Linked DNA regions of Drosophila melanogaster. The protein of the gene in region 3 interacts with the protein of the main gene of each other region in a pairwise test. Each region holds a gene or a part of one and is shown on either strand. Other genes may lie near its edges. The genes, in order: Stam, CG13083, CG4586 and CG4887.

Region 1 (5,966 bases), on a different chromosome or scaffold from region 3:
TTTGACAGTTTATTTCACAGGATATTTGTGCCACCGAATGCCGGATGGAATTTTGCTAAATTGTTGCATGTTTGCCGGATTGCGAGACAGTGGCATGTGGCAAAGCTTGTCTGAATATATTGGAATCTCATCGGAAAAGCGCACTAACACGAGCGGAGGGAGGTATTCTCCGAAAAGGGGATGAGCGCAGTTGAATGGAGCTCTAAGCATGTTAAGTTTAAAAGGGGTGCGAATCCAAAACTCGTGCTGAATTGTTTCAGTTTATAAAGCAATGCAGATTACTCTTTCTGAAGCCTACATAAAGAATTTTACCTTCATGTTTTATAGCATCGATAAGAAAATTTAAATAAATATCATAAAAATAAACAAACAATTCAAGTGAGAAATAAACAAATAATCTGCTTTCTTTATCACTAAAAAAATTTCTAAAAACTTCATCTGATTTCCAAAATTTTCTTGAAAATTATTCCACATCGATTGCTAGTGCTGAAAATATTTGAGAAGGGTAGCCGTAAGCTTTTGACTTGCAATTTTCAAAGACATTGTGTTTACTTAGTATATTTTTATGATTTTAATGAATGTGATTCGTTTCGTTAGATTTATCATAATCCGTACAATAAACATAATACATAATAGTTATCTCCCCTGCACTAAATACAAAGTTATACGTGCTGTTGAATACAGATTATTTATATGGTATATATATCTTTTTCGACTGGTATTGCCTTACTTCCAGAAAAATATATCATTTCGTTGGACCAAATATAAACACAAAAAACGAAAACTCGTAAGGGTATACTTGATATTAATTTGGCTTCTTTCGTTATTTTAAAGGATAGTCGACATATTTGGTTCACTGACAATTGCTCTTCTCAAAATGTACATAGCAGAGATTTGACAACTTCCGTTTCTCGGCAAGTTGGCCAAAACTAACATACTCGATGACATCCTTTTGTCAGAATGAAGACAAAGCTTAAAGTTGCTCGGGCAATTCAAAGCGAACCAAGTGAAGGTCTCTGTTTTAGTGCAGCGGTCTTACCGCTGCTGCTGGTAGATAGGAATGTTGTTCTTGACAGCATCGTTCTGCATGTGATAGCCGGGCGCCCCAACTGGCGGTCCGCCAGCCATGGACATGGCGGCCATCTGCTGATGCAGCTGACTAAACTGATCGTGTGGTGGTGGGTGTTGTTGCTGCTGCTGCTGTGGGGACATGTAGCTCTGCGGGTTGACGACGGCCGGCGATCCGTTCGGTCCATAAAGATTTGGTCCTGGCTGGTATCCCTGTGGTGGCGGTGCCTGCTGATGCTGCGGCGACATGTAAGCGTGCGGAGCCGGTGGCTGCTGCGGCTGCTGGATTTGTGTGACTGCGGGCGGAACTTGGGCGTACTGTGACTGGGGGTCGATGTGGTAGCTGTTCTGGGGATGCTGTGGGGGCTGCTGGCCTTGCTGCTGTGGCGGCTGTTGAGGGTGCTGTGGAAGTGGCTGCTGCTGCTGTTGGGTGGTCACGGGAGTCGGCTGAGTGTAGATTGGCTGGGGCATGGGTGCAGTGCCAGTGGGTTGAGTCAAATGGGCTGGCAGCGCTGGAAAGACGATTGAAAATGTTATTATAGGTAAATATAATAAGTATTTTAATCCTTTGTACTAACAGTTCATCTGTGCGGCATGTCCGTTCTGATAGGGCAGTGGCACCTGCCCCTGCGGTTGACCCAGATAGCCACCAGGAGCTCCAGGTGCCTGAGATGGAGCAGAAGTGGGAGGATTTGGTACGGGGCCATATGGCATCGAGTGCATGCCCGGATAATTTTGGGCCGGTGGGAATCCACCCGCTGCAGGATAACCTGGAGCACCGTACAGAGCGGCACCCGGGAAACCAGCAAGTCCAGGCATAAAGCCGCCAGCAGCGGCGGCAAAATGTCCAGCCGCAGCACGGTCATCCCGCATCAAGGTATGGTACAGATTAATGGCGTCGACGAGGTCGCTGGACAACTGCGTCAGTTGAGCGTGCTTGCGGTCGACGCGTTCCAGCTCGGCATCGATCAGCGGTCCCATCTGATGGACCTCCTGCTCCAGCTGCAGCATTTCGTCGCTGTCCTGCGAGGGATCTTCGGGATTCGCCTCGTGCAGCAAATGCAGCAGCCGGTCGATCTTTGACTCGTCGATCTCCACAGGCTGAGCTGCGGCGGCAGCTGCTGCCGCTTCAGTCTTTTGCTGCAGTGCCGCAGCGGAATCCAACTCTCGTTGCCCGGCTGCGGCGGCCGACTTATGCTGCTGATTGATGTCCAGCCGCTCGGGATCGACGGACAGATCGGCAGTGACAAAGTTCGAGGGGAAGAGACCCTCGCCGCGTTGATTGTATCCCTTCCACCAGTTTGGATCACTATCATCCAGCACATGAATGATCTCGCCGGCAAAGAAGGTCAATTCGTTTTCCTCGGCAGCTTCGAAATCGTACAGAGCTCGAACCTTTCTCGGCTCTGGCGCTGGTGCGGAACTGGCTTCGGCGCTCGGTGCACTCGAGCCGGTTCCAGCGAAAGATGGATACAATGAGGGATAGGCACTGGCGGTGCCGGTACTTGCTACACTCCCAGTCTTTGGACTGCCCTTGTTCTCCTTCAGCGACAATTCGATGGCCTTGGCGATGTCATCCTCTTCCTGCTGGCTGCTGACCACATTCGGATCTTTGGGCAGGGCGGCGGCCTTTTCGGCAACAGTCTTGCTAGTCTTATCGCCAAGATTCTTGAAATCATATCCCTCTTGGCGCAGCTTGGCATAGAGTGCGGGTATCAAGTCGAGCTCTCGATCGTTCTTATAGTCGTTTTCAGCCCAGTTCTTCAGCACTTGGCGCATTTTCTGTGAATCATAATTGGAATTAGAAATGAAATAAGTGAGTTAAAACTGTTTGTACTCACCAGTGAAACCTTTGGCTGTGCTTTGGCCAACAGGCGGCGGAACTCCGTCTCGAAATCCCGTGAAGCCACCTCCAAATGGAGCGGTTTTCCGCAGTTGTTGGACAGGGCGTCCAAAAGCGTAATCGCCTGCATCACCACATGAGGATCGGTGTGGCCCATGCGGCGCATCACCGCCTTCAGGCAATCCTTGGCCAGGCGGGGATTGGTCGTTACCTTGTCGCATACATCCAAAATCAGAGACCAGTTGTCGTTGGTATTAGTTTCGCTGGTGGCCTTTTCTATAAAACAAGAAAGGCATGAACCGCATTAGCTTATCAGTCAAATAGAAATTTATATTCTGAGTCACAGCAAAACAAAGATAAGCTTCTTCGAAAACTGATTGCAGCTAAAGAAAATCAATACAATCGGAAACTAACTAAATTGCATTAAGGGATGGCGAGGGGGTTGGCTGCGTAAACGGAGGGGGTGTGAGGGGCTGCGGGTGCTACGTCACTCAAGGTCAGCGACTGCCATCTAACAACTCCAATAAGAAGTTCAACGAACGACGCAGAGCTGCGCACAGCATCTCACATGACTTTCTTTGTTGTCTGCTCAATCGGGGGATCGGGTTCATAGGGAAAACAGGGGAAAATGGTGTGGTGTGCGGGTTTTTAGACCCCAGATAAGAATAGAAAACTATGAAACGCATATTGGACCGTTGTGCAGTCCAATTGGAACATCGGCTTGTCCAATCGGCCAACACAACAGCTTAACGATAAGTGGTAACTCACCCACGTCGGCGTCGAATGGCGACGACTGCCCAAAGATTCCCATCTTTATGACCAAACCGCTCGCTCGGCTATCTGCCAATAATCTGCGCTGCCCTGGGGTCAATAAATCCAAATCAGTTGATCTTTGTCTGTTTTCCCTATTGTTTTTCCTCTCCAATCGATTTTCGGTGCGTCACGGCGACTGAAAGCACGCTTTTGGTGTACTTCCTCCTGCGTAGACCTTTTCGCTTTTTTCCAAATCTCTTTTGGGCTGCTTATATCTTTTCGATTAGCCTAAAAACTTCCGAATAGCGCTTGCAAATTCGCTTAATTTACGTTTATTGTGTAAAAAATGACTAATGGCGAGTGTGGCCAGATTGCGAATAGTCGGGAAATCCAAAGGATTTTTTGCAGCTCATTTTCAATGGTTAGTTAGAGGTATTCGAGACTTATATTATGCAAAACATTTTTATTTATATATACATATAAATATTATTGATATTGTATATTTAAATAAATTTAGACAACTAATAATATAAATCTATTAAACATCTGATATGATTTGAGCACTGGTAGCTATGGTTTATAATAATTAAACAGTTTTCTATGCCCTTCACTCAAACTATTCTCCTACGGGTGAGAAGCGTATATTATAATAACTATGCACAATATAAGAACAAAACTAGAAGATTAATTTTTATTTAAGAAACATGAAAATATTTTATTATACGTTGACCGAATTTAAAAATACAGTGACTTAACTGCTTCACTGAGAGTCACAGAATAACTCGATTCTAGCATGCGGTCACACTAATCTCAGCATTCGAAAAAAACGCGCAAACAAAAGGGACGCTTATAGAAAATACAACTTAAAATAATTAATTTACTTAAAAATCATAATATTATAAACAAGTCAGCGCCATGACGCTTTCCCGCGCGAAGCACGCCAACCGCAACCACCTGCCGCACCTGCTGGCCAAGGTGCCCGAGGAGCACCAGGAGCCGATCAAGAATATGTGCCTCAAGATGATGTCCCACGACGCATACGGACAGCCGTACGTACAAGCAATAAGCTAATGTATCAATCCGTACTTAATCTGCTCCCTCCAGATACGATTGGAGTCCCCGGGACTTTGAGATGGGCGCCCACTTGGGACGCGGCAAATTTGGACGTGTCTACTTGGCGCGGGAGCGCCACTCGCACTATCTGGTGGCCATGAAGGTGATGTTCAAAGAGGAGCTGCGCAAGGGCTGCGTGCAGCGTCAGGTTCTACGCGAGATCGAGATCCAGTCGCGACTGAAGCACCCGCACATCCTGCGCCTGCTCACTTGGTTCCACGACGAGAGCCGCATCTATCTGGCCCTGGAAATTGCGTCCGAGGGCGAGCTGTTCAAGCACCTGCGTGGCGCACCCAATCATCGATTCGATGAACCGCGGTCTGCGAAGTACACCTACCAAGTGGCGAATGCCCTCAACTACTGTCACCTGAACAACGTGATCCATCGGGATCTGAAGCCGGAGAACATTCTGCTAACCAGCACGGACGACCTTAAGCTGGCCGACTTTGGTTGGTCGGCGCACACGCCGAACAACAAGCGCAGGACTCTGTGCGGCACCCTGGACTATCTGCCGCCGGAGATGGTGGATGGGAACTCCTACGACGACTCGGTGGACCAGTGGTGCCTGGGCATTCTGTGCTACGAGTTCGTCGTCGGCTGTCCGCCCTTCGAGTCGAACAGCACGGAGAGCACCTACAGCAAGATCCGGCGCATGGAGATCTCCTACCCATCGCATTTGTCCAAGGGCTGCAAGGAATTGATTGGCGGGGTGAGTTGGAAGATGTTTCCTTTGAGATCCATTTATTGAACAGGGATTTCATCTTTGCAGCTGCTTCGCAAGGAAAGCAAGGGCCGCATCACCTTGGTGGATGTGATGACCCATTATTGGGTGAAGGCGGGAATGGCCGAAAGGGAGCTGCAGCTGCAGAAACGGGAGCGCGGCAAGGAGAACACGGCCAGAAATTGACTGGTTTCGAGTTTGCATTGTGTAACGACTTATTTCAGATTTTACTTTTATGTTTAATAAACGGTTTATAAGATTTAATGAAGTTTGGAGTATATTTTTGAAATCTGAAAACTGCTTAAAAATAAAAATCTATTGGTAGTAACTTACTTAAATTACCTTTTTCTAATTTAACCCCTTTTAAATTAATTTTTCTAAGCCCATGCCTTACTTAGTTCCAGTTCGTGGGCCATGCTATATTTTCGCGCTTCCCGCAAACGGTCACCCTAAATAAATAAATGACAA
Region 2 (3,530 bases), on a different chromosome or scaffold from region 3:
TTAATGTACTATCATTTATATTATTGTAGTGGCGTTCCCCATTGGACTACCTTCAAGCGAGCCTAAGAAAAGAACTCTGGCTGCCGCCTCCACAATTCTATGAACTTTCGCGCTGCCTAAACTTCTCCTCTTTAGATAACCTGCGTCAGTTTGCAGCAGAGCGTGAGGTCAAAGGCATTCAGCTGATTCATCCTGTAGTGCACAAGTGTACAAATGGATTAGTGCATCTCTTGCCAGGAGATGATGCTTACCCCGCCGATCCGGATGCAAGTAACGAAAAAATTGAGATCGATTTGTCAGTCGAGGAATTCCGTTCGAAGACGAATGCTAAATTACATCGATCGGAGCACTGGAACCAGCATCAGTCGCAGCTGATAATTAAGTTTGAGCGGGATGATGGTCAGGTTCATCCATTGGATCCAACAAAATTATAGAGGTAGAGCCGGTTTCCTCTATGTCAGGTGCATTTATCTAGTTTTATAAGTTTTCCAACAATTGATATATAAAGTTGGACATAACACTTTTTAGCAATATACAACTTATAAAGTTCGATTTCCTCCATTTACTCTTGTTTATTACATTGTGTTACAGAACGGTTTAATATACAATTATATAAGATAGATAGAATCGACATGCTGGGATTTGATATAGGAAATCAAGCAATTTCTGAATATGGCATAAAACATCTATCTTCAGTTTTCGTATTAATGCTACTGGCCCTTTCCATACCAAAGTTTGTATAGGTATTCAGCCTCTTCTTGGGATGCATAGACGTTCTCGTATCCTTGATTGCCCTCTGGTTTTGGCCTTAAAATGAAAAGAGTGGTTTTAGTGTGCACCCAGAAGTAGGGCATACAAACTTACTTGTAAATTGGTGCGTGTTCCGGGTGAGTCCAGATCTCGTGGGGCTTCTGGTGTGACGGATTTTTGTGCTTGCAGCCATCCAGCGTCCTTTCAATGTTCTTCTGATTGTTCAGTAGGGCAGCCAGTTTATGATCGACCTGTGAGGTGGCCACCTGCACTCCATGGACAGTGTGCTCGATGCTGTTGAGGCTCTCGGACTGAGTGCGGTTGAGAATGACCAGACCCCACTCCAATTGATTGACTTTGCGATTGGCACGATCTGCCAGAGCCTTAAGTTCGCCCAGATATCCCACTTGACCCACGATGTTGCGCTGCTGCTCCTGGAGGACCTTCGCTTTATTGTCCAAGCCGATGAGTTCCCCTATGACGGCCTGTGATAGCAGCTGCTGAATCTCCGACAGATGCGAGTTGACGGATGAGGCCACTTCATTTAGGTTCTGCTCGTATTTGTTCTGATTGGCAGCCACTTGTTCCAGGGCTTTCCTGATTTCTAGCTCCACTTTGGTAAGATTCCTAATAGAGTTTTCATTCTGACCCTGGATTGCGTTAACAATGGCTGTCAAATTTCCCACTCCAGAGGCCGTGGCTTGGAAGCTGCTTTGAACGTTCGATTCCAGCTTGGCTATGGCAACCTCCAATCCAGCAATGAGTTCGATCTCGTCGCGCTGATGCTTGAACTTCTCTTCAATGCCCTTCTGCACGTCCTTCACTTTCTGCAGCCCATGGTTTAGCTCCTCCGTACCTTTGATCAGCTCCTCCACCTCACTGCGGATCTCATGGATGGAGTCCAGATCCTCAGCTGCAGCCGCGCATAGGTAAATGCATATCGTTAGCAAAGTCAGTCGCACTCTCATGGTGTTTCTCTGATGGCCGCTCCCCGCTGAGTGTCTCTTTTCGATCCGAACCGCAACTTAAGTAGCCCAACTTAAGGTCCAAAACGTGTCTTAGACTGGGTTAAGTTCTATCAGTTCGGTCACCACCCACTTCTCTTCAGCGGGTGCAGGTGCAAATGCTGCTCCAATCTGTAATAGTGTGTTTACGAGAATTTCCCTACTACTAAGAAGATAGTCGCGAACAACTGTTTTATCATCTTGTAAAAAGAAAGAACTAAAGCGAATTATGTTGCATGTAGTCGTACTAAATAGTTATTGGTTCATCGACATCTTGGTAAAGTTAGGGAAAATCCGTGTAGTGTCACGTTTCAAAATTCTTCTTTGTTTCTAAACAGAACAGATTGACCCGGTTTTTTGTGTGCTACGGTAGTAATAACACCACTGAAAAACGTGCCCCAGCTGCTTCTTGTTCAAATTCATTCAGAAAATAGGTCTTCGAAGGTAATGATAACGTAACAAATGTTTTCGGGCATACTGTCTATCGTTTACAAGAAATAAAGTAATAAAGCGAACTAAAGTAATTTTGTAAAAGTTTAATAAGTCTATATTTTGTTTCCTATTTCGAAAACAGCAGTATAATTAATTATCCTTCATATTATCATGCCTATTCAAAAATTGGCCAAGATGCCTTTTGCAAATTTAAACAAACTTGGATCCTTTACTATTAACTTTTAAAAAAGCTTAAAATATTTTTAAAATTTGCTTCTATCAACAAACAATAGCATAGGTTAATAGTAAGGTGAATTTATTTACCTACAAAACATACAAAATAACAAAAATTTCTTCGTATATTTTGAATAGATTTTGAGAAAAGTTTTTGGAAATTGAATGTATATTTTCGCATACGATGCTAAAAGTTGATGCATATGATTTCCATGAAACTATAGCATTTTTTCTCAAAAGTTATTTATTAATTACTTGCTAGGAATATAATCAAAAATGTATTTCCTTTGCTTTTTTTTTATTTATTTATAAAACATAAAAATTGTACAAAGTAATGAATCTGAATTAAAAAAAAAGAGTTTGTTAAATGCTTTGAAAAGTTGTATCAGTTTCAGTAACAGTGGTAGTCCCAGTTAAATCTTCCTTTAGTATCCTTGGGGGAGGGAACTGTCTCCATACCAAATCCTGAAGGATTCTCCTGGCTGGATGGGCTGTGGCTTGTAGATCTCCTCATTGTAAGACTGTGGCTCGTGGTGGGGCTTATGAGGTTGCTCGTGGTTAGGTTTGGGACTGTAATCCACAGGAAGCTTGTAGGATTCAGGCTGGTCATGTGGCAAAGGAACATAGGATGCCGGAGTAGGGTGCTCTTTCTTGGGGCACGGCTTGGGCTTGGTAACGGAGGTGGGAACGTGGGCCGGAGCTGGGTTCCATGGCTGATGGTGGTGAACTGGAGCGGACTGGTATGGGGATCCGTACTCCCACGGCACCGTCTGCCGCCAGGACACGGCGCTGGAGCTCTGATAGTTCTTCTTTGGCTCGGGGGACTGGGCATAGGCGGTAGCTTTGTGGTTTCCAGAGTGCTCTCCTATGAACGACAAGCCATTAATTTGTGATCCTAATCTGGTGGCAATAAGGACCACTTACCGTGCTTGGGCTCCTCCTTGATGCTCCACACCTGTTCCAGATCCACTTGCTTGGGCTTAGGATGAGCATGCTGCGGCTCTGGGACCTCAGCTCCGTAGGTGGGAAGATAGGACTCGTCGTGATGGCCATATTGCGGATAGGGCTGTTGTCGGCTGCACTCTTCCAGACCCAGTTCGATGCGTTTCT
Region 3 (4,480 bases):
TGCGGTCTGAAGCAGCTGGATGTCCTGGACCTGTCCAGGAACAAGATCACCGATGTGCCCGCCGATGTGGGCGGACTGTTTGTGACCGAACTGAACCTTAACCAGAACCAAATATCCTCGCTGGCGGAGGAAGTAGCCGATTGTCCCAAGCTGAAGACACTGCGGCTCGAGGAGAACTGCCTTCAGGCAGCGGCCTTTACACCCAAGATCCTCAAGGACTCGAAAATCTGCAACCTGGCCGTCGACGGCAATCTGTTCAACTCGAAACAGTTCACCGATCTCGATGGCTACGATGTCTACATGGAGCGGTATACGGCGGTCAGGAAGAAGATGTTCTAGACTCGATTCAGATCAAATCCCTTTTTTTTTTGTGTGTACCCCAGCCTTTATTTATCCGAGTAAACTAATTTAATAGCTTAATTCAATATGTGTAATGTGTAAAACGATACGAATAAATCGGAAAAAGACAACTTTAACAAGGGCGAGCAAGTAAGTTAGTTTGAAAATGGTAAGTGCAAAATAACAAACAATTGCGAAATCCTATTTCCTTTATTAAAAAAAAATGTTATGATTCAACTTCAATACAAAAATTAGTGAATAACATATACGTATGTAGAAAACAAAAGACCAGCCCCACATCACAGCTTTCCCCGCATCATGGGCAACAAGTGGTTGTGGAAGGACGAGTTGACCGGCTCCTGGTTGATCGGATTTCGGCGTGCCTCCTCCATGAGACGCTCGTACACCCGGCCATCGTGACACCCCAGCGTGGAGCCCAGGACACGATCGTGAAAATCGAATCCATCCACCAGAGCCACCGCATTGGGTCGCAGCTTGGCCAGCAGCTCCTCAAAGCGACGCTCCACGAAGCGCAGTTGGGTGCCAGTGATGCCGTTGTTCCAACGCAGCACGCATCCCGACTGTCGCAGGAATGTATCGATGACGAAAAGCTCAACCAGTTGGCCCAAGATGAGTGAGACATTCGGGCTAAGATCGCCCTTCTTTCGAAGTGCTTCCACTTGCTCCAGTGCATTGCGTGTGAAGAATGCGTGAGCATGGGCTATGGCAGCCGAGGTGAGCTGCCTTCCAGCCAGATTGCTGGCCATCTCGGGACTCACCTTGCCGGATTGGTGCATCTTCTGGGTCTGCCAAGCATCACGCACCTGCTCCATGGCTGAAATCTCCAGCGCTCGCACACAATTCGCAACCAGATTCTTGCCCCAAATCAAACGGGCTGTATCCCTCAAATAGGAGACACTGGAGGGCAGCACCTTGCGTTTTAAGCTATCCGCATACTGCCGGACGAGGAAACGAGCTGTCTGGAGCAGGAGTACTGTGTACTCTCCCTCGTAGGTGTATGTGGCGGCGGTCAGACCATAGATGCTATCGAAATTCGCCGAGGAAAGGAATCCGTGGCCACCGCAACTCTTGCGCAGCAGATCAACTCCCTCGCTGGCCTCGTCGGTGGCCACCGCCTTGAGGCAGCAGCTCAGGGCGTGCAGCTCCGGCAGGGAGTTGCGTCCTTTCGTGCTTTCATCCTCCAGTTGGCGGAGTACGTCCTCGTAGAAGCGCCACAGCCAATCGGATACCAGGCGATAGGACACTCCTCGAGCAATTTGCGGTAGAATCTTTGCCTGCTGTGTGATGTGATCCAAAACAGAGACCTCCGGCTGATCGCTGTTAATCCGGCTCTGGCGACGCACCACGGAATACCTAAAGATAATGATAATTATTATCTAAAGAACCCTGGGTGAGCTGAATGTGTTTTATGGGCTTAATAACAGCTATGATAAACATAATCCCCAGAAACTATATAATCACCTGGTGGCAATGGTGGCAGCCTGGAGCAGTCCAAAGAGCACATCCTTCACGGTAATTACCCGCACATAGACCATTGTGCCGTAGAGCAGCAGCGGAGGTCTACCCTGGACGAAGGTGCCGTCGGTCAGGACTTGGGCGTTCTTCATCAGCATTTGATTGCGCGGTATCCGCACGTCGCGGAGTCCCAGAAAGCCGTTGTTAACGCCATTGCCACCCAGGCGAGGTCCTATATCGCCCACATCGACTCCAGTCAACGGTTCGTGTGTCCTCTCGTCCCTGATCCTCACCACAAATGATTGCAAGCCATAATGCTTGCCCTTCACATATAGCTGGGCCAGCACAATGGCCACATTGGCGGTATTACCAAGTCCGCCGGGCCACCACTTGTATGAACTTTGCGTTGGGGTGTTCAGGATGAATTCCTGCGTGATGGGATCGTAGTCGGCTCGGGTTTCCAGGCCCCGGACAAAGGTGCCGTGACCCAGCTCCGTTTGCGCATAGGTGCCCAGGACGCCGTCCATGTGCCAGGATCGATTGAGCCACTGGGCCTGCTGCTCCTCGGTTCCCTGGCTCAGCAAGGTGGTCATGAACATGGAGAAATGCACCCGAAGGGGGAAGCTCTGCTGGAAGAGGCCCGTGCCCAGGGATCCGGAGAGTAGCAGCCGAAAGTCCCTCAGCATATTCACACTAAGCTGAAGTTGTGGCTGCTTCTCCCGCTGCCATTGGCGCAGTTTGGCCAGGAAGCGTGTGGATCGGGCCACGGTCTGTTCGTAGCGCTCCTTGTATGACAGACAGCTCGGATGCACTGGCTCCGCGAAGTCGGGATCCTCATAGAAACGCCTTTCCAGGGCGCGGCGCTCCTCCAGCTGCCCAGAGCCACCCGCCCACCAGCGGGCAAAGTCCTCGCTGTCCAAGGTGGCCGCCGCCCGCTCTCTCTGCAGATCCGCATTCACAGACATGATCGCTCTATCTCTCCTTCCCGATCTCTCTTTTCCTAGAGTTTTACTTTTCTACGGGATTTCCCAACTTCTCTGCTCGAACGACTCGATTGCACTGAGAAGTTGGTGGCTGGAAGAAACAGTTCTGCAGCTCGAAACATGGCAGCCAGGTCACCAAAGGCGGGGATAGCAGGGGAATATGGTTGGTTATCAGTGATCCGAAATTAAAGATGAGTTGCCAATTAATATACCGGGATTCTTTATACATTTACCACATTATACTCATAAAGGATGCAGTGTATAAGCTATTTATGGATAACTTATACAGAAGAGGCGATCTGGAACCCCTTTGGATGGTCCATCCTGCCTACGCCTTTGGAGCCCCACCACTGCCTCTCTTTCGCGCTCTGCCCGCTGGTGCTCCAACCGCCGTTGTTGCTGCATTGGAGTCACTGAACTGAGAACTGAGCCACTCTCAAATTGCTTGAGCGCCTTAGGGTGGACCATATTCCGTATTTGTCGAAAGTTTCTCAAACTGCGTCTTTCTTACAAGATGCACTTATCATGTTTTAGATTTCGTATCCTAGGTTGTATATTTGGACGGAATTTGTTTCTTACTATTAACTCAAACGCTGATTTGTGTGTTGGTCCACCCTAGCCAAAAATGGCACAAAGTGCGTAAACATCTGATGAGCGGCATTATCTCCTAGTTTTTTAGTTCAAGTTTTTTTTACCGTAGATAAGAAAATCGTAAATATTTCTTGTTGTTTTTGTTTTGCAAAAACCCACAAAGCTCAACAAACAATTATTTCTTTTTCGTACAATAACATTTTTATTTCGTGGATTTCTTGTTATCAACATAACGTTTCTCAATTGGATGACGTTTAGAAAATCTAAGATAACCCTATGGGCCATTGTCAAATTGTTTATAAATAGAAACTAAAAGACATGGAAAGAGCGATTTTATTTATATAAATAAATAAATATATTATTATACATACGAGCTTCTGCAACCTGGATTTTAGGACAAATTCTCAATTTAAATTTCCCGCTCTTCAAGAATGCAACATAAAATATAAAAAAACACTGGCCATTTTAATAACTATAAAGAGTAATTATTATAATATTATTGATGTGCCAAAAATGCAACGTGAATTACAATTTATTTTACAAGAAAACATAAGTTTTGTAATAAAAAAAAGCTTAGGAGTACCCCTATTAAAAAGTTTTCAGCATAAAAGCTCGTCGAATGTGTGACCAATTGTCGGAGTAATTTAGTGGCGCCCGACGAATGGCCACACTGCCGGCCAGCTGATCGCCCGCGTGCAGATTTCTCGACTTTATTTTCCTTATTTGGCTGTTGTTGTTTTGGGCCGCCGGTACCGCTTAGCTTTCTGTCTTCCTCTCTCTCTGTCTTTCTCTCTCGCTCCCACCAACGGCACCGCCATGGGTAAGAACACGAAGCGCAACAAGAAGACAAAACAGCAGCAACAGCAGCCACAACAAAACGGAGTAACTGCATCCGCATCCGGCACAGCAGTCGAGGATTTTGAGGACCAGCAGGCGGCCAGTTCGTTGCCCAGTTTAAACGGCAAAAAGAGGAGCCAACTAAACAAGCTCGTCGAGGAACTGCTTGACTTGGTGGAAAAGCAACCGGCGAATCCCAACGAGGAATGGAAGCAGTACGGGCAGCTACAGGAGCTGCTCAAACAAATCATGAT
Region 4 (6,793 bases), on a different chromosome or scaffold from region 3:
ACTTCGTTCCCTGAAATAATCGCAATTGGTAGTAATCCACTAAGAGGCTCCAGGTGGACAAAGGACTACCTACCTGGATCGGGATCGGGAGCGACTGTAGCGTCTGTAGCCCGATTCGCTGCCGTTTCCGTTGCCGCCCGAGAAGCTGTGACCATATCGAGAATCCATATCTAATGCGAATCGATTGTAATTAAATGCAGTGTTTGTGATTTGGCCTTTTGCCATTAGATGAACCGTCTATGTGCGCACATCTTACTTGGTTACCACGACTGTAACAGGATTGGAAGCTGGTTAAACTTGTTCCCGAACTGGAAGTCTCTTTGCATTCAGGCAGAAACAATCAGTTATCCGGCCAAAAAAAAAAACCCGAATAGAAAAATTCTCGGTCTTCTTTTTTGCCGTTCACCCGAAGTATCTGACTGCCAGTTATCGATAACTGACCGATAGCTCCAGGGCTACCAAGTGCCAGCTAACAGTTGTTTCCCAACACCAAGCAAATTTAAACTTTACACCGTTACATTTTATTTTGTACATTCGAAAAAGGATTTAAATTCGCTTAATCAGAAACTATTAACTAAACGGTCACACTTGCTCGTGGACTTAAAAAAACGCCAATCTGTTAGGAAAACAATGCTCAAGAAGCTTCATATATAATATGGAAATAATTTTTGCTTCGGTTGAAAAGCTGAATTAAACGGCGACTTTAGTTGAAATGAAACATGTGAAACGGCTAAAAACCAATTTCTCAAGCATTCTCGTAGCGCTGCTTCATCATCTTCTTTATATAGGATTTGTAGTCGTTGCCCGGTATCATCTGTCCCGATTTGTTGCCCAAGCCCACGTAATTGGAGCGTCCGTCCGCCTGAGGGAACCCAAAATGCTTAATTTTCTTAATTCATTTTATAGCTTGCCGTCAGCTCAGTTACCTCTATGATCTGGGTGCGTCCCTGGTTCTTCCTGCCCAGTCCCTGTCCCTCCGACCAACCCATCTTTTGGAGCAGTCGACTGCCCACGTTGCTCGAACTGATGGGCATGGCTGGAGTAGCGCTAGTAGACTGCTTTTGCCGCGACTGCAGTGTCTTGATCTCCTGCTCGAATCGCTCCCTGCTCCTATTTGGTGGGGGAGGATCGCTCTCGCCGTACTTCAGCCTGCGCTCCTTGGCACGATCACGATAGCTGGGAAAGAATATGAATTCAATGATAATATACTCCACCACACATCGCGATTTCACTTACGCTAGTGCCTCTTCGATGCTACTGCTAGTGTTTTGATTGAGCTTGGCCAGGTTCTCCTTGTGCAGAGTGGACATCTTCAAGTGCTTCTGGAGTATTTCCAACGATTGGAAGGCACGCTTGCAGAGCAGGCATGTCAGTTTATGGAAGTCCACGTAATCGGACTCTTCAGCACCTCCTCCGCCGCTTACAACCGCTGAACTCTGTGTGTTTTGCGAACTCGCAGCATTGTCCTCTTCAGAGTCCGATGTTCCGCCATAGGCATTGACAAGCTTGTTCATTGGACCCACAGTCGGGTTTGGCGCATAGTCGTTTAACTTGCCCCTCTCCTTCTTCTCGAGAATGGAGAATCCCACATCAGCATATCCCCCTTGATTGCCACGCGAAGTGGTGGCTACCTCGTTCGCCAATATTGGTTGTGGCGTGGCCACAGCTGTGTAGTCCTTTTTCTGGTTTAGCTGCTTGGCCCACTTCTCCATGTCCTTGACGATCTTCTTCGCCACCTTAACCTTGTCGTGCTTGTTTCCACCCTCCTTCTCCTTCGCCTTTTTGGACTCCTCCTCCCCCTTTTGCTCGGCGTCGGCCAGGACTTCCTGCAGAGCTGCCTGAGTGGAGGCGGGCGTGGCCAGCACATAGGTGCTCCTGCGCTGATCCCAGTAAAGATACGCGCCCGTCTCGTTGTTATAGTAGTACTGCGAGTGGGCATTGTAGTAGAGACCCGTGGTACTGTCGTAATAGTAGCCGGATGTCTCATCATACTGGTACTGCGTCACATCGGGAGTGGCTGCAACATAATGAAACATAATAAAATGCTAGCATACTCAAGTGAGTGGCGACATACGGTATATCTTTCCATCGTTGCCCTTGGGCGCACTGGCCACCTGAGCAGCCAATGTGGCCTTCACTTGCGCCGCTGCCTGTGCGGCAGCTGTGGCCGCCGCTGTGATCGTGGTCTCGATACTGCTCATCTTCTTCTGCTTGCGCTGGATGGCCGAGAGGGCAACCGCTGCTCCGGAATTGGCTTCCGTCAAATGGGAATCCCTGTTATTTTTGTTTATATCTGCCGTGTAGTACTCCGTATAGTACTGGACATAATAAGCGTGCTCTGCGGGATTCGAAGCGTACAGGGAGGCACTATATTCAGCGAGTCGTGGCACATCGGCCAGAGTATAGTTTCCACCCAATCCTGAGGGCGAAACTGCTGAAATGTTCCCGCTATTGACAGTTGAATCTTTAACTGCCAATTCTTTAGGGTTCTTGGGCAATGCTTGCTGCTCCTCCAAGTCGATGCAATAGGTAATGGCCACTGGATGAAATATTGGTTATTATTTAAGTTATAAAAAGCACCTAAGGCCACATACCAACTCTGTCGTCCAAGGTAAGTGGAGGATCCAGCGCTGTCAAGGCATTGTGCACATTCATCGAGTCGACAAGAGTGTCGAAGTGAAGGTAACAAATTCCACGCGATGCCTGCGTCAAGGAATCCCGACTAATTAGCACCTTGCTCACGGTCTTGCTCAGATCCTTTAGGTGAAGTTGGAGGGCAGTGAGCACAGCCTCTTCGTTGGTCAGGGCGTCCAGGTTGCGTAGCATGATCTCTGCGTGGATTGGGGAAGTGGTAGAGAAATCGTGGCGGTCAGTGGTCTGTTGGACTTCATTGCGATCGAAGCTACAAAACGAGATGGCAAGAGAGTCTATGTGGTTTGTATACTTTTGGTGAGGATGGTGCTGACTTCGTCCACGCCCTCGCTACCGGAGGAGAAGGTGGTTTCGCTGTCTTCCCGGGATGTTTTGCACACAAAGCAATAGAATCTAAACTTGAAGTTGCAGACGCCACACTGGAACAAGCGAAACACATTACTCGCCATTAAGAATATGATCATCTCAGTGCACCTACCTTGTTGCAGTTCCAGTCCTGAATTCGCTTGTGGCTGTACCGCATGCTCACCCGCTCGTCGTTTAACTTCAGAACGCCCTGGTGCGCCAGACATGGAAATAGGAGAAGGAAAGGTTGCGGATTAGTAACCGATCGCTAGGATGCCTTCATTCACACTCTACACAGTCACCGGATTGCATCTGTGTTTCGTAACGCGAAGTTTTAGCCGCTGGCAATCTCCTCGAGTGGCTTTCTTGGGCAATTCTAATGAAGCAATACTATACTCGTGCTTAGTTTCCTTGCAACTACATATAAGTACTTTTAGTTGGACAAAGCAAGCTAAACAGTGAGGAATTCCTTATTATCATTGCCTGCGAACAACCTTGGCTGCTGATGATGATCAAAGTTTCAAGGGGATCTGGTCGATTGCGCTGATACCTGTGTAATATCCATCCATTGCTTTGCCTCCTCAACGGTGTTAAACTCGACAAACGCTATACCGCGTGATGAATCTAAATTTTCGGATAGAAGCAGATACAAAATGTTTTCGTCAAAAAATGTTGAATGTTTCGATAGGTTTGTAACATTTTTGTGGACTATTGTATTCTTTTCGATTCATGTGGCCGGTTAAATTCGATTGGTACTTGTACACTTCGCCTCCATTAGCGCGAAGCCGCTCCAACTTTTTGGACCTACTTACGTCTGACGCTGAAAGAACAAAGTCAGTGATTTCGTAACCCACCTGTTCCCTGCTTCCGGATAATGCGAATGCACGCTGGCTCCATGTTCACCTTTATCAGCTCGCTCATAATCTAAAAAAAAAGTTAGTTCATGAGTAATTAAAGGAGTTGCATTTGCCACTCTTCTGCTTGGCTTACATCTGCTCTGGTCATTTCCTTGGTAAGACCGAAGATTATAATAATATTGAGGGCTTCAGTGGTGGATCGGTATTTGTTCCTGCGCATGTGGCCTTCATCGCTGTCGTAATCTGAGGAGCCCCTTCTCTCACGATCCCGATCTCGATCTCGATCACGTTCACGGTCTTGCTCCCTATCCCGATCTCGATCTCGATCGCGATTATGGTTGCTGCCACCGCCGTTGTACATGCGGTGATCTCGGTGGCGCCTGCACGGTCCGATTTATTATTTAGCCTGAAGTGTATGTATACTTTATACTCACGTGTTTCGCTCGTTGCTTCTGCTTCTGTCGTCGTGATTGTTGTTTCTGTTCCAGGGTCTGCTGTGTTCCCTGCTCCGACTTCTGTTGTGATACCAGTCCCTGTCCGTGGAGCTACGATCACGTGAGTCCAAGTCGCGGGAGCGCTGTTCGTACTCGTAGTCGTTTAGCTCCCGATCGCTCTCGCCATCTCGGTCCCGATGCCGACGGTCGAAGCTATCATGTCGCCGGAACTGACGATTCTCAAAGTTGCTCCTGGAGTTGTAGTTGCGCTCATCCTGATCCCTGTAGTCGTCGTTGATCAGGCTGTGGTAAAGGTCGGGGTCCCCGTTACCAGCTCCTCCTCGACCACCGCGATGCTGATCGTTTCTGAACACGGGCGACCGATCCCGATCCCGACTTCGAGAGCGAGAGTTCCGGTGCCTGATTCCTCCATGGCTGCGGTTGCGCTCACTGAAAAGGGTACACAGTACTAATAAACACGATCGCATTACGCTGGTAGGGTAGAATTACCGGGAACGCGACCTGGATCGACTGTATCGAGACCCCGGCCTGGATCTATAGTAGTCGCTGCCCCGTCCACCCTCGTTTTCACTTCCACCAGAAAAACTGCGCCGACTACTCGAGTCCATTGCCGACTTGCTTTGGCATAGACGCTGGGCAGGCACCAGTGGCAATAGAGCTTCGATGCGGAATCCTTCACGATCTGTTTGGTAACTTAGCCTTAATATTTTTATCCCGGTTCCTTATGGAGGACCACCGTATCTTTTTTCTCAAGAATACTCGATGTGCCATTCGCAGCGAAACGCCGATAATTCTCTAAAGCTAGAGATGGCCCTTTTATATTTATGTATTTTGCAACGAAAGATGGCTATATATTTTTAAGCATTAAAAACTCTAGGTTCTAGACCATAACATAATTATAAAGTTTTTTTTAACGAAAACTACTCTTTTCTTAAAAAACAAACATTACATTAGCTATCAGCAATAACAGTGCTCTTGTCTGACTGCTCACCAACCATCCTTAGGAGCAGTGTTGAGCAGCGTCCGAGTGCCGCTACTTGCCATTCCGTGCAGCGTGTCGTGGGGAAAAACCAATTAGTTTTTTTTTGATCGTCCTAAACTTGGAAGTCCCACGAATTCAATCACTAGCTGACGGCCTTATCGCTGGTAGATATTGCGAGATCGAGCAGTGCATTGTAAAACGGCCACGATGAAGAAGGTTCTATTGACCAAAGCCCAGCACATCCAACCAGTCGTCGCTAGTAGTTCGGATGTTTTGGTGATCAAACCAGTCGGTTCCCTGCGAGTGATATCCATCTCAGCGCCACATAGTGCCTCTACCTACATCCAGCGCAAGTCCTTCCAGCCCGTCTACGAGGACATCTTCAAATTACTCATGAAAATCCCAGACAAAGCCCTTACCCAAAGGGTGATCGACGCGATAAACGAGAGCAATAATAACGATAAGGTCGCTATCTCCAATCACGGTAAACAATGTTCGTGCGGAGTCCAAAAAGTCGATTCATCTACACAAACGGATTGGGACACCGAGGAAACGCATATGCCTGGCATTACAAATAATTCATGCGAAGCCAAAGGGAATAGGCATAGCCACATGACCAGTTCAAGTTCCGAACCTATAAAACCGCCAGTAGATCCGACCAAAGTTCCTAAAAAGCGCGGTAGAAAGCGAAACACCTGCGTGCCACAGGTGGTCAAGCGATCAGCGGCTGAGATGGCGCTTAAGGAGCGCGAGGAGAAGCAACTGACGCCCGTGATCACTAAACGGAAGAAAAGGGATGTCACCGTAAGTACAAGTATTATTATGATGTAGTAGTTCCTCCTGGAAAGTACTAAGTTCATAAATCTCGAATGGAAATATATATACGATTTTATTATAAATATCTTTCTTACAGCAAGCGCAAAACTTCGAATCATATCAGATCACGAATAAAACCCCTGTACGCCGAAACTCTACCTTGTCGGATATATCGTTCAACTCCGATGAGTTGACCCGGGTGGAAAACTTTATAAGCGGAAACACCGAGGACCGCATTATACGCATCATGGCCAACGAATTCAGAAAGTCGCACATAATGTCCGAAGAAGGATTGCTGTAAGTATTCATTTAGCCGAATAAGACCATCATCATCGTAATGATATCATCTTTTCACATGGCACTTCAGACCCATTCACGAGGAAATACTGCACGGCGATGTTTACGGCGTTAAGCGTCAGATATTTGTGTGCTGCCACGCGAAAATGGACATCAACGAACTACTCACCAGGGACGGCGAGGACTGCCTGGAACTTGCGCTGACGAACGACACGGACACCGAGATTGTATCGCTCATCCTGGACGCTCGCATGATGACCGACCACCTCTACGAGAACTCAAACACAGCTCTTCATCTGGCGGTGATAAACCATATAAATATAGAGTCCATTAGGCTGCTGTTGCGCAGAATCGATTTGAACAGTCTTCTGCTAACCAACGATGATGGT

What was found.
Region 1: the proteins of CG4586 (region 3) and Stam interact in a two-hybrid assay, tested with the Drosophila melanogaster proteins (one large-scale study listed by BioGRID).
Region 2: the proteins of CG4586 (region 3) and CG13083 interact in a two-hybrid assay, tested with the Drosophila melanogaster proteins (one large-scale study listed by BioGRID).
Region 4: the proteins of CG4586 (region 3) and CG4887 interact in a two-hybrid assay, tested with the Drosophila melanogaster proteins (one large-scale study listed by BioGRID).

Annotation. Positions count from the first base shown.
Region 1 is NT_033779.5:10,856,591-10,862,556, reverse strand, and holds Stam (signal transducing adaptor molecule), read right to left. Parts: upstream 4,022-5,966; 5' UTR 3,723-4,021; coding exon 3,680-3,722; intron 3,188-3,679; coding exon 2,910-3,187; intron 2,851-2,909; coding exon 1,647-2,850; intron 1,581-1,646; coding exon 1,036-1,580; 3' UTR 551-1,035; downstream 1-550. Other genes in the region: aurB (aurora B), read left to right, coding at 4,580-4,713, 4,769-5,486, 5,547-5,684.
Region 2 is NT_033779.5:19,485,712-19,489,241, reverse strand, and holds CG13083 (uncharacterized protein), read right to left. Parts: upstream 1,753-3,530; 5' UTR 1,719-1,752; coding exon 865-1,718; intron 808-864; coding exon 711-807; 3' UTR 551-710; downstream 1-550. Other genes in the region: CG10194 (uncharacterized protein), read left to right, coding at 30-434; CG13084 (uncharacterized protein), read right to left, coding at 2,846-3,285, 3,345-3,530.
Region 3 is NC_004354.4:6,968,318-6,972,797, reverse strand, and holds CG4586 (uncharacterized protein), read right to left. Parts: upstream 2,881-4,480; 5' UTR 2,781-2,880; coding exon 1,822-2,780; intron 1,714-1,821; coding exon 639-1,713; 3' UTR 533-638; downstream 1-532. Other genes in the region: CG3040 (uncharacterized protein), read left to right, coding at 1-339; Setd3 (SET domain containing 3), read left to right, coding at 4,206-4,480.
Region 4 is NT_033779.5:1,171,325-1,178,117, reverse strand, and holds CG4887 (uncharacterized protein), read right to left. Parts: upstream 5,110-6,793; 5' UTR 4,918-5,109; coding exon 4,799-4,917; intron 4,739-4,798; coding exon 4,289-4,738; intron 4,235-4,288; coding exon 3,988-4,234; intron 3,922-3,987; coding exon 3,852-3,921; intron 3,622-3,851; coding exon 3,548-3,621; intron 3,209-3,547; coding exon 3,131-3,208; intron 3,072-3,130; coding exon 2,945-3,071; intron 2,832-2,944; coding exon 2,595-2,831; intron 2,540-2,594; coding exon 2,075-2,539; intron 2,018-2,074; coding exon 1,237-2,017; intron 1,177-1,236; coding exon 927-1,176; intron 863-926; coding exon 746-862; 3' UTR 529-745; downstream 1-528. Other genes in the region: CG4896 (uncharacterized protein), read right to left, coding at 1-10, 74-168; charon, read left to right, coding at 5,499-6,095, 6,205-6,404, 6,475-6,793.